Linked DNA regions of Saccharomyces cerevisiae S288C. The gene in region 3 interacts genetically with the main gene of each other region. Each region holds a gene or a part of one and is shown on either strand. Other genes may lie near its edges.

The links. A genetic interaction does not mean that the proteins touch.
Region 1: of HOG1 (region 3) and SKO1, a mutation in one rescues a mutant of the other (synthetic rescue), as found in Saccharomyces cerevisiae (5 studies listed by BioGRID).
Region 2: mutations in HOG1 (region 3) and SCS7 together harm fitness more than expected from each alone (negative genetic interaction), as found in Saccharomyces cerevisiae (5 studies listed by BioGRID, with this or other methods).

Annotation. Positions count from the first base shown.
Region 1 is NC_001146.8:318,916-323,904, forward strand, and holds SKO1 (Sko1p), read right to left. Parts: upstream 2,445-4,989; coding exon 501-2,444; downstream 1-500. Other genes in the region: BNI5 (Bni5p), read right to left, coding at 3,304-4,650; YNL165W (uncharacterized protein), read left to right, coding at 4,917-4,989. UniProt on the Saccharomyces cerevisiae protein: Binds to the CRE motif 5'-TGACGTCA-3' and acts as a repressor of transcription of the SUC2 gene and most probably other genes.
Region 2 is NC_001145.3:809,123-813,202, forward strand, and holds SCS7 (fatty acid alpha-hydroxylase), read right to left. Parts: upstream 1,656-4,080; coding exon 501-1,655; downstream 1-500. Other genes in the region: YMR272W-B (uncharacterized protein), read left to right, coding at 1,967-2,074; ZDS1 (Zds1p), read right to left, coding at 2,111-4,080. UniProt on the Saccharomyces cerevisiae protein: Ceramide hydroxylase involved in the hydroxylation of sphingolipid-associated very long chain fatty acids. Postulated to hydroxylate the very long chain fatty acid of dihydroceramides and phytoceramides at C-2.
Region 3 is NC_001144.5:369,076-373,944, forward strand, and holds HOG1 (mitogen-activated protein kinase HOG1), read left to right. Parts: upstream 1-2,544; coding exon 2,545-3,852; downstream 3,853-4,869. Other genes in the region: thioredoxin peroxidase AHP1, read left to right, coding at 1-236; CCW12 (Ccw12p), read right to left, coding at 622-1,023; YLR111W (uncharacterized protein), read left to right, coding at 1,316-1,648; YLR112W (uncharacterized protein), read left to right, coding at 1,716-2,135. UniProt on the Saccharomyces cerevisiae protein: Proline-directed serine/threonine-protein kinase involved in a signal transduction pathway that is activated by changes in the osmolarity of the extracellular environment.

The DNA.
Region 1 (4,989 bases), on a different chromosome or scaffold from region 3:
ATCTCTTGAAAGCGAACAAAAAAACGTGAGGCTAAGGAAGCTATTTAGGAAAATAGACGAAAAAGGAATGGCAAAAGAAGGAATGGCCCTTTCAAAATAGGTATAAGCAGCACAGCTTGATACATGCTAGGGTTGCAGCAGTATAACTGTACTCTCTTTATGAGCGTAGTGAAAAGACGGTGAAATTATAACGGTATGCTCTATGAAGAATAAATGCTGTAGGAAAATTTACGATAATAAAGCCTTTATTGTTGTTGATCAACAAAAGGAGGCTTAAGCAATTGATAAACTTCTGAAAAGAAGAACCCTATTAAAGTTTATATCAAATATAGAAAAAAAAATCTTGAAGTTACATAAATACAGAAAAAAGCGGGAGAATAAAAGGGATTTCCTCTTAAAAGGAACTTTATAGTGGAATATTTGCAATGAGAAAAGCGGACAGGTTGAAGAGTACGAAAGCATCAGATAGAAGACTATTTAAGAACCCCGTCGCTATCTCGTCAATTATTGTGAGGTAGAGTGGATAGTACATCATGCTTATTAGTATCATGGGTATCGGAATTTGCATTTATTACCAATGGATTAGTAACAGAGTAGCATGAATTGATTATATTCTGTGCACTATTTCCCACATTATTAGTAGTTGTGTTACTTTTGCTGATATTTGCTCCAGAGTTCAGTGAGTATTTTTTATCTAGAATTATTGGTCTTGAATTAACGGAAGGATAGCCCGCATTTTCGCTTTTGACAACGTTAGTGTCCTTATTGAAGCTGTCTTCTTGGCCATCCATGTCGTCCCTTGGGTTTTTGCCTCCCCTTCGGTAAAAATTCGTTTCACATATCAATTGCTTCATGTTTGATAATACTGACATTGCACTTGAATAATCACTCCTTGAAATGCTACTCTCTAACAATGCTATTAAAGATGTAGATGGTGGTGATGATGATGACGGAGTTGAAACATTCACATTGAATTGGGAATTCGAGGAGCTTGAGGGTATTATGCCGCATAGCTTCCCAATGACCTGAGTTAGATCGTCATATTCAGATTCATAGAATTGTAGATCATTTTCAATTTTCTTGATGTACTCTTTCTTTCTTTTTCTAAATTTAGATGCAGCTACTCTATTTCTTTCTAAAAACTCCTTTCTTTTTCTTTCTTGCTCTTCATTCTCATCAAGTGTTACGTTGTTTGAAATTTTATTATTTTCAACATCATCTTTTTGTGCTGGTGCAGTCGTAACTGCTGAGTTTTTTCTTGATATGGAATTTTTTCTTGAAGCCTTAGAAGTAGAACTTGTGCTAGACATCCTTCTCTTTCTTTTTCGTGTTTTGTTATTGAACTGGTCATTGTTCTCAATTTGAGTCGTTAAATTTTCATTCTCCTTGTGATTATGAGCGGAGTGCTCGATGGCATTGAACTCTGCCGGATTATCCATTTTGACAGCCGCTTTCGTTGAAGTATTTGGGGAAAAATTGGAATTACTGATGCTGTTGTTGACGGTACCATCTGTGGTATTTGTTGTAGGTGTTGATTTGAATACTGGATTAGCCAAAACTCCAGTAGATGGTAAGTTTAGCAGAGAACTCAATCCCGGCGTAAGTGGTGTACCATTTACAGTTGGGTGCATTATATTAACATGAGGGTGGTTTTCAATACTTCCATTCACTGTGACACTTTTGTTGACATTTTTGCTACCTGTTATAGTATTTTTATTAATTGACGGCAATACGGGATAATTGTAAGATTGCGTAAGAATACCGGGTGTCAACCCGGTCCTGATATTGGACTCATTAGGTGTCAACCCAGATTTGGACAAGTTTAATAAAAAGCCAGGCATTTGTGAATCATTCGTGGGGAAGCCGTTACCAGAATTACTTGTGGTCACGTTCGAGTTTCGTGGCTGGCGTATAAGTGAAGTCCCTGAAGGAGAAGAGCTGTTTGGATACAGAGATCCGGAGGTAGAAGAAACGCCTATTGCACTAGGGTTTGAATTAGAGACTGAAACAGAATGTGAATTCTGACTGGGATTCGTAGTTGAATTTGCCTGATATAAAATAGAGGGAGAAAGGAGTAGAGGTGGTAATCTTTTCGACCCACCAGGTGTGAGAATAGGCGGAGATATTATAGTAGGTCTTTGTTGGCCTGGTAAAAAACTAGGTGAGTCTTTTTTTACGTCATTATGATTACTATTATCTGTAACGGTTGAATTCCCATTTTCTTCTGGAATACTGTTCAAACTATGAGTGGAACGTTGGGAATGTTGTGTTATCGTTGAGGTAGAATTGTTTCGTGAAAGCTCTTTTGGTAGAGACGGATGGGAGATCGTGCCTGGAAGTGACAAAGCCTTCTTGGAAGAGGCGAAGCTTTGTTCAAAAGGATTGGGTTCTAAATCGAAAGTTGAAACAGTACTTGGTTGTCTCGAGCGTTCCTCGCTTGACATAATGATTAAGCAGGGTCTAGAGACTGGGCAGGTGTATTTGGAATGCAGAAATTGAAATGAAAAGAATGAAATAAAAATAAAAATCCACGAATTGATTAAGGAACTTATCAAATAATAGAGATCGGTAAAAAGATAGGAATCTAATAAGTGGAAAACTCACTTGAATAATAAAAGAGTTTTTCTCGATAAGAAAACACAATTCACTTTTACGTTGAACCCCTTTGGTAGTAACTTTTCTGAGCTTAAAACCACTCCTGAGCGTTGGCAATGTAGCACCAAATTATTGTGTTTCTGGAGAACAAATTAGTCTCACGTATCAGTAACCAAACTTGGTCCTTTTAACTGGAAAAATGTGCAGTTTGTTTCGAAAACCATCACCGTATGACTGAATTCATTCTATTCAGCCCAGTTAATTTTCGTGATTTTTCCCTTCGATTCTACTTTTTTCCCTCTGCGACAAAGTTAGCAGGGTTATCGCTAGCGCGGTTAAGTACGACTTGGTTTATGAAAGTTCTTAGAGAAAAGAAGACACAACGCCATTGAAATTGAATTCTGGGTACTGTTATTGTTCCGTTTCATGTTATTACAATATAATTGACTATCTGAACATTTTGTCTTCATTTTTTTTTTTTTTTATTATCGTTTTGTTTACGTTTAGGCGAAATACTCACCTCTTTACTATTAAAATAATAGAATTTATCAGAAAAAAAGTCAGCAACATCAAAAATAACAGATGGATGGCTCTAGGATAAAGGATTCTTATTCTCTTACGATTGTCTATGTTCTTTTGGTATTTATTTTAACTTTATATATCTGTCTTAATTTATAAATATTTATAACAACCCTTGGCGTAATGTAATCATTTAGTTCCAATCCAAAATTGGCCATTTTCGCCACGATCAATTTGCTTTCTCAGATGTCTACTTAATAACACTCCGACCTCATATTTCTCCTTCGTTTTCTTGTCAAGATATTCTTGAAGCTTCACTACGGCTCTATGTAGTCTCTTTCCGTCTTCCATAGATAAAGAACCCTGTGCATTCATCTTGTTTAGATAGTCAATTTCCTTTTGTAACTTAATGCATTTCATGGATAAATAATCATGTCTTTTTTCCAGCTTGGCAATACTGCCCAGCTCAGACGCTGATGTGATAGGAGAGGAGACTGGCGAATCATACTTATTTAGTGAAGATTTACGACTTCCGTTTCTTGAATTGGAATTGCTGCTCACCGAGATAACTCTGAACGGATTTGTAGGGCGTCGTGTCTCGAAATTCGCCATTTTTTTCTGTCCATCACCATCTGAATTAAAGTGATTTATATTGGTACCATCTTCTTTAGAATTCTTTTTAGGGATAAAAATTTTAGTTTGAGAATCTAAGGGAGTGCTTCCTCCAGAGCGATTGGGACAATTCTCTGAATTATCGTCATGGGGTGTTTGATCAGCTAAACGGCTGCTCTCATGGTTGTATTCATTGTCACCTCCTACAACTATGGTTTGCGGTTGTATATCTAGATCCTTATTAGCGGAAGAAAATTTGTCTAATACAAGTTCAGCGTCTAACTTGTTCTCACCGCCCAAGGTGTTATTCTGGGGCATGGGTGATTTGAAAGATTCAATCTCACTGTTTTCCTCTGTTCCCTTATCTACTCGCCCCTCTTCAACATCCGATTTTTCATCCTCCCATTCATCATCATTATTTTCGATAATTTCAACATCAGCTTCACCCCTGTTTTGATCTATATTGACTGTACCATCTTCTTTGTTCTCAGTGCAGGAGTCCTTTGCCTTTTCATTTCCAGCGGAATTTGCGACAAATGAATTATAGGAGTCACCAATAGCAATGGCGGTGTGAGTTATCTGCTCTTTCGCTATAAAAGGTTGAGTAACCGATAGCTGGGATGGGTCATCCGTACTCTTATTCGCTTCATTCTCAGTGGGAATATGGACCTGTGCGGTTTTGTGCTCTTCAACCTGAGCTGAATCTCCTGGGTTACTATCCGCTCCATCATTGCCACTAAAAAGAGCCGTTTCTGCCACCTTTACAGCGTCGACCACACCCGTATCCTTGACATTATCTTCGACAGCTTCGTCCTCCGCAGGTTCAACTAATTGTAAATTTTCGTCAATCATCTGGTTCATCTGGTTGATATCTATCTCTATTTGAGAAAGCCTCTTCTTTATCTTGTCCTGGTCCAAGCCCATCGTTTCTGTTGTTCTATTTCACACTAACATAGCATCACCATAACAGTAAATCAAATTACAAAACTATTAATGATTTTTGTTTATTATGAAGTTTGAATTTTCAGCGCAATATTTATTTCATAACGCGTCTAAAATGGTCTGGGTTCTGGGCATCTCTAAAGCCCTTCACTACTAGTGAAGAAGAAGAACAAGTAAGGCTTTTGGAAAAGAAAGAGCATCAAATTGAACGATAGGAGAAGTGCTACATACATTTGCCAAAGATCCGCATGGATAGAGTACGCTCTTTGATTGGAAATCGCCGGGGACGCCGACATAATCGCCAACATCCTCCGTATCCTC
Region 2 (4,080 bases), on a different chromosome or scaffold from region 3:
AGAAATGATTAGGTATGAGGTACTCTTATAGTATGTAGAATTTCTGATTTGCTTATGTGTTCATTTATTCTCGAGAAGAACCCTTAGTATATTCTGTGTCCTAATATTACAAAAAGTCAATGAGAGTCTAGGGACTATCAGATAACTTCACTGTGCTCATCTTGATTCCTGTTCTAACGACAGTAACACAGGATACGGTTAGTATTTTTTTGCCAACCTGATCTGTGAAAGAAAAATGTACCTGTCAATTCGGTTCTTTTTTGAGGCCGCTTTTTCGTATAGTCGTCATCGATTGGATATTCGTTTAAGAAATAACGTGCTTGTTCATCGATTTCATCTATGATTCCATTCCATGTGTATGTATATATACGTAGTTACATATAATAATATAAATAAAGATTTGAAATAAATATGTCGCAGAAAAGAACTTTGCTCAAGATTTCATTGCTCGTAATGTTGTTTTTCCTAGGTTGACAATTTTGGACGAGGCTGACCAATAATTATTCATATTTCATTTTGGACAATGGGGCATCGGGGCCTAAGTAGGTGCCAAAAACTTCGTCCCAAAACCAGGATGTGACGCCAAATCCCAGTTGGTAGTTTTTATAATGATGTTCCAGGTGATATTTTTTCAACTTACGCATGAAGGGAGGCAATTTAGAGTGGTGCAAGAAGAAATGACATTCGTCATAACAGACATAACCGAAAAGACCGCCAGCAAAACCAGCGTAAGCCCAATAAAGTGGCAGCAGAGCAAATACCAACTTGTAAAATGGAGCACAAAGGATGACGAACAGAGTAGGTGGCATAACTAAACGGTACTTGTCCATGGGCAAGTAATGATGGCAACCATGTAGTAGAAAATGTGTGGCGAATGCGATGTTACTTTCAGGTAACCAATCATCGAAATGAAATAGGAAACGGTGAAGACCGTATTCAATCAAAGTCCAAACAAAGACACCGACACAGAACAAGAAACATGCAAATAGCTGGTTCATGTTCTTCAAAGCAACACCCATGTGGTACACAACTACAGGCAACCAAGCAACTGGAACAACCCACCAAGCTGTTTTAGTTAATGGTTCCAAGAAATTACCAAATAGCGGGGCAGACCCCTTACCGTAATGTCTTGGTCTATGGATTTGGTCAACGTAAAAATCTTTCTTGAAATCACTACGCAGAATCTGCATCAGCAAAGGACGGTTCAGATCCAAAAATTTATGCTTTTTGTAGTCGTTACTGTAGTCCGTAGCAATACTTAGTTTCTCCTCGGCGGGCAACTCCTTTACAAAAGTAGTGGAGTCAAACTCAGTACCGTCAGCTGACAACTGCACTTCAACCTTATGGTTCTTGTTAGTCAACAATCTCGCTGCCTCTTCGTCAGTTGCCAAGTAACCAATCAAATATTCGTCCTCAAGGATTTCATACGCGGAGTCGCTGTGTTCATGCACATCTGAGTCTTTCATGATCTCAGTAATGTCCTTACCAGCATAGTCCAAGATGGACTCGTCACCACCAGGGTGTTCGCTCAAAAACCTGGTCACGTCATAAATCTTTCTGTTTTGATAAGTGACCCAGCAGTCATTGGCAGTATTGTGTTCTTGTACCGTCTTTTTTGAAAACAGTTCCAAAGTCTTGGAAGTATTAGTCGACATCTTCGTACTAGTTTTAGCTTACCACCGCTTTTAGTGCCTGCCACGATAACAATAGAAAAAAAAACTAATCAAAGACAATAGACACAATAGCTTCTACTATCTAATACCTCTGTTCTTATACGGTTCCAAATTGAAAAAAAAATTAACTGCGAAAAGATGTCACACGTCAGTAAATCCGCGCAAAACCCCGTTATATTTCCGACGTCGTGCGGTAGTTTCTGCGCGGAACGGCCCCGCGGAATAGGCACATTTTCTTCCGGCCGCAGAAAGCTCTCTTTATCAAAAGCAAGACTGTTTTCGGCTATTGTATTATGAGAAGTTTGGTGTTTGTCCAACTTTCCCTGTTGTCCTGGGAAATATTCTGTGGGGAACGTAGCTTTGTGAGCATGAAAGCTATCTTTTCGTGTATGTACGTGTGATGTGTATATGTCTATGTATGCAGCGCTGAAGCCTTTTCAGGGTTGTTGTTGTTGTTGTTGTTGTTGTTCTTTGTCGTGGGCTACCTGCTCCATGTACAGAGTGTGATTAACCAAGTTCAGATAAGCATACATGAAGTTACTTAGTAATACCTGCTCGCGCAGTCCCCTCTTCGAATTGCTCAATTTCAAGTGACTCAGCCGGTATATGGCCCTTTCGACGTTAATTGGTAGACGGTGGTCGAACATGATAACCGTAGACACTGTCAGCAAAGGCAGTGGGAACCCAAAGGCACTGTCTGTGAATTGAACCGGGGAGTTTGGTTTGTCAGGTTTTTTGACGTCTGCAAATGTAAGCTTTCTTGGGGGCAATATGGAGGTATGTTTCAATGGTGGTGCCGCTGGAGCCTGAGTTTGAGCTGAAGCTTCAACTGGGGCTGAAGTTTGGACTGGGGCTGAATTTTGGACTGGGGCTGAAGCTTGAACTGGGACTGAAGTTTGGACTTGTTCTTGAGCTGGAGCTTGTAGTTGAGCTTTTTGCTCATCGGTATTCTCCTTTTGGACGTGTTTGGAGTGTTGTTGGTTGGAAATTTCTGTCGTATTGCTCCTCTTCTTGTTCTTTTTCTTTGCCTCCTCTTCTTCTCTGTCTCTAGAGTTACTTTTGGTACTACTTACACTAACGGCCGGCTGTAGTTGGGGCAAGCTCTCGGAATCGCTTTCCTCTTTCTTTTCTATCTCTATTGCGCCTTCCAATTGTGGTTGTAATGGTATCTGCTGCTGCGGCTGAGAATCTTTAAGGGTTTTTACGCTTATTTTTTGGGAACCATGACGGCTGTGATGGTGACGGTGAGGACGAGGGCGATTGCGCAACACAATGGGTTCAACCGGCTCCCTTCCACTTTTGTTACCAAGCTTTTTGCTTTTCCTCACGCGAACGTGCACGGCATCGTTATTTGGTATTGATGGTGACGATGATGGTGACGACGAGGGTGATGATGATGCATCATGCTTGTGGTGTGGCTTTCTTCTGAATAGGTTCGCAAAAGTTTTCTCGATTTTCTGTCTTGTCTGTGATGTGGCGGTGGAAGTACTTGAATTGTTCATTTCTTCTTTATTTGACACCTCCGTCTTCTCACCGCCATTAAATAGAGAAATATAATGTTTTTTGGAATTGTCGAGCTCCATTCTTTGTGAATCCACGTTTTCTTCATTTTCATCGTCCCCTTGGTTTTCTTCGTTATCGTCTTCTCTGCTCATTTTATTGTTCAACCATGTCCATCCGTTTCTTCGACGATGTCGCTTCGTTTCTTTGTTGTCATCCGTTGCGCTTGGCTTTACCATGTCTGTTGTTCCCTCTCTTAACTCTAAGTCTTGTTCTACTGTGTCATTTCGAACCTTGACGGGTACCTCTTCGGCTTCTTTCTCTATTCCCATTTCTTGTTCCCACTCGCCACTAGACTGTCTGTAATGATTATAAATGTCTTGAAAATCACCAATTGACCCAGGCGAACTCATATTCTCAGAATCCTCATCTTGCTGTCTAAAAGGGGATTTGTGCGGATCTATTTCGACCTTTATTGTATTCTTGGTCAATTTTAGACGTTCTTCGTCGTCGTTTTTCATTTCATCCACACTTTGTTCTACTTCTTTTTCTTGCTCTTGTGACCTGATTCGATAAGTGTTGAATCTACTCCTTCTCAGTGACGATCGTTCAGGCCATGTCATGGTATTATTGATGGGCATATTGGAGGCAAATTCACCATCATCCAAAGTATTCGCTTGTGAAGTTGAAAAACCAATATCTCCTTCATCATAATGCCCTTCCGGTTGTGGTTGATCTTTTTTATCTGAATATGAACCAGCCATACTAAGAGTTCTGGCTAATGTAATGGCATCATTGTCGGTTAGTCCTGCACTATTTGAGATCTTTGTCAGTTCTTCAGTTATATCTCTTAACGACACTGGTCTCTCTTTTATTTTGGAGATTCTTTCTTCGACTTTATTTACTG
Region 3 (4,869 bases):
CGTGGGCTAAGAGTTTAGGTGTTAAGGACACCACACACATCAAGTTTGCCTCCGACCCAGGCTGTGCTTTCACCAAATCCATTGGTTTCGAATTAGCCGTCGGTGACGGTGTTTACTGGAGTGGTAGATGGGCCATGGTTGTTGAAAACGGTATCGTTACTTACGCTGCCAAGGAAACCAACCCAGGTACCGATGTGACCGTTTCCTCAGTCGAAAGTGTCTTGGCTCATTTGTAGATGCTATGTAATAGACAATAAAACCATGTTTATATAAAAAAAATTCAAAATAGAAAACGATTCTGTACAAGGAGTATTTTTTTTTTGTTCTAGTGTGTTTATATTATCCTTGGCTAAGAGGCACTGCGTATACTTCAAGGTACCCCTGTGTTTTGAAAAAAAACAACAGTAAAATAGGAACTCCGCGAGGTTCAGGAACCTGAAACAAAATCAATAAAAACATTATATGCGTTTCGAACAAAATTAAAGAAAAAGAATAAATATAGATTAAAAAAAAAAAGAAGAAATTAAAAGAATTTCTACTAAATCCCAATTGTTATATATTTGTTAAATGCCAAAAAAGTTTATAAAAAATTTAGAATGTATAAATAATAATAAACTAAGTTTACAACAACAAAGCAGCGGCACCAGCCAACAAAGCACCAGCAGCTGGCAAAGCCTTAGCAGCAGCACCAGTGTAAGAGGTGACAGAGTGAGTTGGAGCAGCAGAGGTGGTGTTCTTTGGAGCTTCAGTAGAGGTAACTGGAGCAGCAGTAGAAGTACCGTTCTTTGGGGCTTCAGTGGTCAATGGGCACCAGGTGGTGTATTGAGTGATAACGTCATCGACGGTGACGGTAGCGGTGGAAACCAAAGCTGGGGAGACAGTTTCAGAACAGACGTGGTCTTCACAAGAAGTGATGGTGACCAAAGTGGTAGATTCTTGGCTGACAGTAGCAGTGGTAACGTTAGCAGCGGCAGAAGCGACAGCGGCGACAGCGGCGATAGAAGCGACAGTAGAAAATTGCATTATTGATATAGTGTTTAAGCGAATGACAGAAGATTAATTTCTTGGTATGTTAGGAAAGAATAAAGGAGAATAAGAATAATTAGAACAATGTAGGATGGAAAGAAAGATTATCAAGCATGCCGACTTTATATACTTGAACGGAGGCAAAGGATGCAAAATTTTCTCACATTTCTTTCTGCCGTTATGTTGGAAGTAAGACTCCCATTATCGCAATACTGCAACACGAATATGCAAAATTTGCTGAGTTATCGCAGATAGTTGTTGCAAAGATAGCGGCGTAGGTGGCCGCGAAATGGGGAATTCCAAAACAAACGGTTTTTTTACTCCTGAGAAATACTTGTACGGGATAATCCAGGGCCTACCACCCACGCTTCGAGGATTGGCTTTTATTTTTTTTTTTTTGGTGGCGTTTTATTTCTTTCCCGCTTTCTGGGACTTGTGCGGAGTTTTGAGAGGGGCGCGCGGCAAAGGATTCCCAAAACGGAAATCAGACGCCAATAGCCAGCACTCAAAGCAGTTCTGGACCCATTCCGATTTTCCCATTTGGTTCTTGCGCGTGCTGATTCCGACACGCGCGTCTATAAATAGCATGAAGTATCCGCACACCGCAGCGTTAGTGAGGTGAGGGTGGCAGCAAGCTAATTCCCGCATCTGGAATCTGAACTGCCCCTTTTGGACTAACCGTGTGGTTCATGGGTGGGCGAAGTGCGCAACCTCGAAGGTTTTCTTTTGCGTGTCGGATTTTACATCCGGCGGTAGCGCATGATGCCATGGCTGGCTCCAGATACATCCTCAGGGCACCAGCATCTATAATTAGATTGGCGCAACATGGCTGGCTGCACTGCTGTCTTCACTTCTTTCTTTTTCCGGCAATGAATGATGTATGTTTTGTGGCAAAAGGGTCCGCATTGTACCTGTTTACAGTTGAGATTATCGTTTTTGGTAGCCCTTCATTACGGCATAACGTATTAAGTTTCTTTTATTTTGCTTTGCCCTGGTTTAAAAGACAATGTCGATTAAAAGTTAATTTTAATCGATTGAAGGAAATAAGAGGAATAGCGCAAGTTGTTAGGAAAGCGTTCTTTATCTCCAAGACTTTGCCCTGTATATAATTAAACACCTCAAAGCGCTTCGTCATGGATGGAGATTATTCGGCATTTTGACATACAGGAGTGCCACATGCGAAAGCGGAGTGGGCGTATTCTCTGGTTACCCTACATGGTCTGGCGGCGTTATTATACGGGAGGATCTTCGAAGGGAAGGAAGGAAAAAAAAAAAGAAAAGGCCAACGAAAAGCAAATATTATCTATCGTCGAAATTATCATACTATCTTACAATAAGAGTAGTAATTACTTTCTTGTTTGTATAGTGGAAGAGGAATTTGCGATAATAATAGCAAAAGTAACTAATCTCTAACAAGAAACCTTATTTATTTTCTCTTTCTTCTATATTGGTAAATACTAGACTCGAAAAAAAGGAACAAAGGGAAAACAGGGAAAACTACAACTATCGTATATAATAATGACCACTAACGAGGAATTCATTAGGACACAGATATTCGGTACAGTTTTCGAGATCACAAATAGATACAATGATTTAAACCCCGTTGGGATGGGGGCATTTGGGTTGGTTTGCTCAGCCACGGACACTTTGACATCTCAGCCAGTTGCCATTAAGAAAATCATGAAACCTTTTTCCACTGCAGTGCTGGCCAAAAGGACATATCGTGAACTAAAACTACTAAAACATCTAAGACACGAGAACTTGATTTGCCTTCAGGACATATTTCTTTCTCCATTGGAAGATATATATTTTGTCACGGAATTACAAGGAACAGATTTACATAGACTCTTGCAAACAAGACCCTTGGAAAAGCAATTTGTTCAGTATTTCCTATACCAAATTCTAAGGGGTTTAAAATACGTTCACTCCGCGGGCGTCATTCATAGAGATTTGAAACCGAGCAACATTCTGATTAATGAAAACTGTGATTTGAAGATTTGCGATTTCGGTCTAGCAAGAATTCAAGACCCTCAAATGACAGGCTATGTTTCCACTAGATACTACAGGGCACCTGAAATCATGCTAACGTGGCAAAAATATGACGTCGAGGTCGACATTTGGTCCGCTGGTTGTATTTTTGCCGAAATGATTGAAGGTAAGCCTTTGTTCCCTGGGAAAGATCATGTTCACCAATTTTCGATCATCACTGACTTGTTGGGATCTCCGCCAAAGGATGTGATAAATACTATTTGTTCCGAAAATACTCTAAAATTTGTTACTTCGTTACCACACAGAGATCCAATTCCATTTTCTGAAAGATTTAAAACAGTCGAACCTGATGCCGTAGACCTTTTGGAAAAAATGCTGGTTTTTGATCCTAAGAAGAGAATCACTGCGGCGGATGCCTTGGCTCATCCTTATTCGGCTCCTTACCACGATCCAACGGATGAACCAGTAGCCGATGCCAAGTTCGATTGGCACTTTAATGACGCTGATCTGCCTGTCGATACCTGGCGTGTTATGATGTACTCAGAAATCCTAGACTTCCATAAGATTGGTGGCAGTGATGGACAGATTGATATATCTGCCACGTTTGATGACCAAGTTGCTGCAGCCACCGCTGCCGCGGCGCAGGCACAGGCTCAGGCTCAGGCTCAAGTTCAGTTAAACATGGCTGCGCATTCGCATAATGGCGCTGGCACTACTGGAAATGATCACTCAGATATAGCTGGTGGAAACAAAGTCAGCGATCATGTAGCTGCAAATGACACCATTACGGACTACGGTAACCAGGCCATACAGTACGCTAATGAGTTCCAACAGTAAACGTGTTTTTTTAATGTCCCTAACCACTCATTCTTACTTCTTTTTGATGTTTCTTTTTTTTATGGTACTCATAAAAGTATTTACGTATATAGTTGTATAGAGGAAACAAAAAAAAAAAGATAAAACTCAATTACAAAGTAAAGTGGACGTATTTCGATCATGATTTTTTTCTGTTTTAACCGCATTGGATTTTCTTGTAAAACTGGAAGAAAAAGGAAACTAAAAAGTCAAGAAAGACCTTTTTAAGACTCCAAGAACCGTCACTTATGGCGTATTGTTTGTTTATCAGCACTTCTATCTTCGATAAAGGTTTGTCTGTCTTATATTGTTTACATTTCAAGTCTAATTCTGTGCTTTTACCGAAGAGGAATTTTCATAAATACGGAGAAAATATAAAAAAAAAGTAAATACAGAAAATAGAACAGTTGAAGCAGAAAAAGAGAACTTGCTAAATAGCTGTCTCACCCAGACAAGCGTATACTTACCACATTTAGTCTTTTGCAATCTCATTCTTGTTGAAGATAACTATTACATTCACGGACTGTGGCAGAAACTTCTCCTTAAGAAATTAGGAACTCATAAAAGGAATCAGCAGCTCTATGTAATATCAAAATCTTTTCTATTTTTTGTATTTATGCTCTCATTCATTAATTCTAACGGAGCTATTTATTATAAACAGTGAAGATATAAACCATATGTCTAATAGAACAAATTTCAAAAAGTCTTCAATTTCGTGGATGTGGGAATGCATTTATTAAAAATAATGAATGGCAACATACGACACCAAAATAGGAACACTTTCAGTACTATACAGAACTACGGATCTTAGTTTATTGAGTTTTGAGAAATAGGTTGATATGGAGACAATTTCTTAGCGTTATTAGAGGTTATAAGTATACAGAATAACCTACGAGTAGTCCTCAAGAAGATAAGACTCTGCAAAAGGTATCAATAATTTTACTTAATCATAGCACTATTTCTTCTTTCGCTTTGTACAGCAGCTCATATATTCCATTA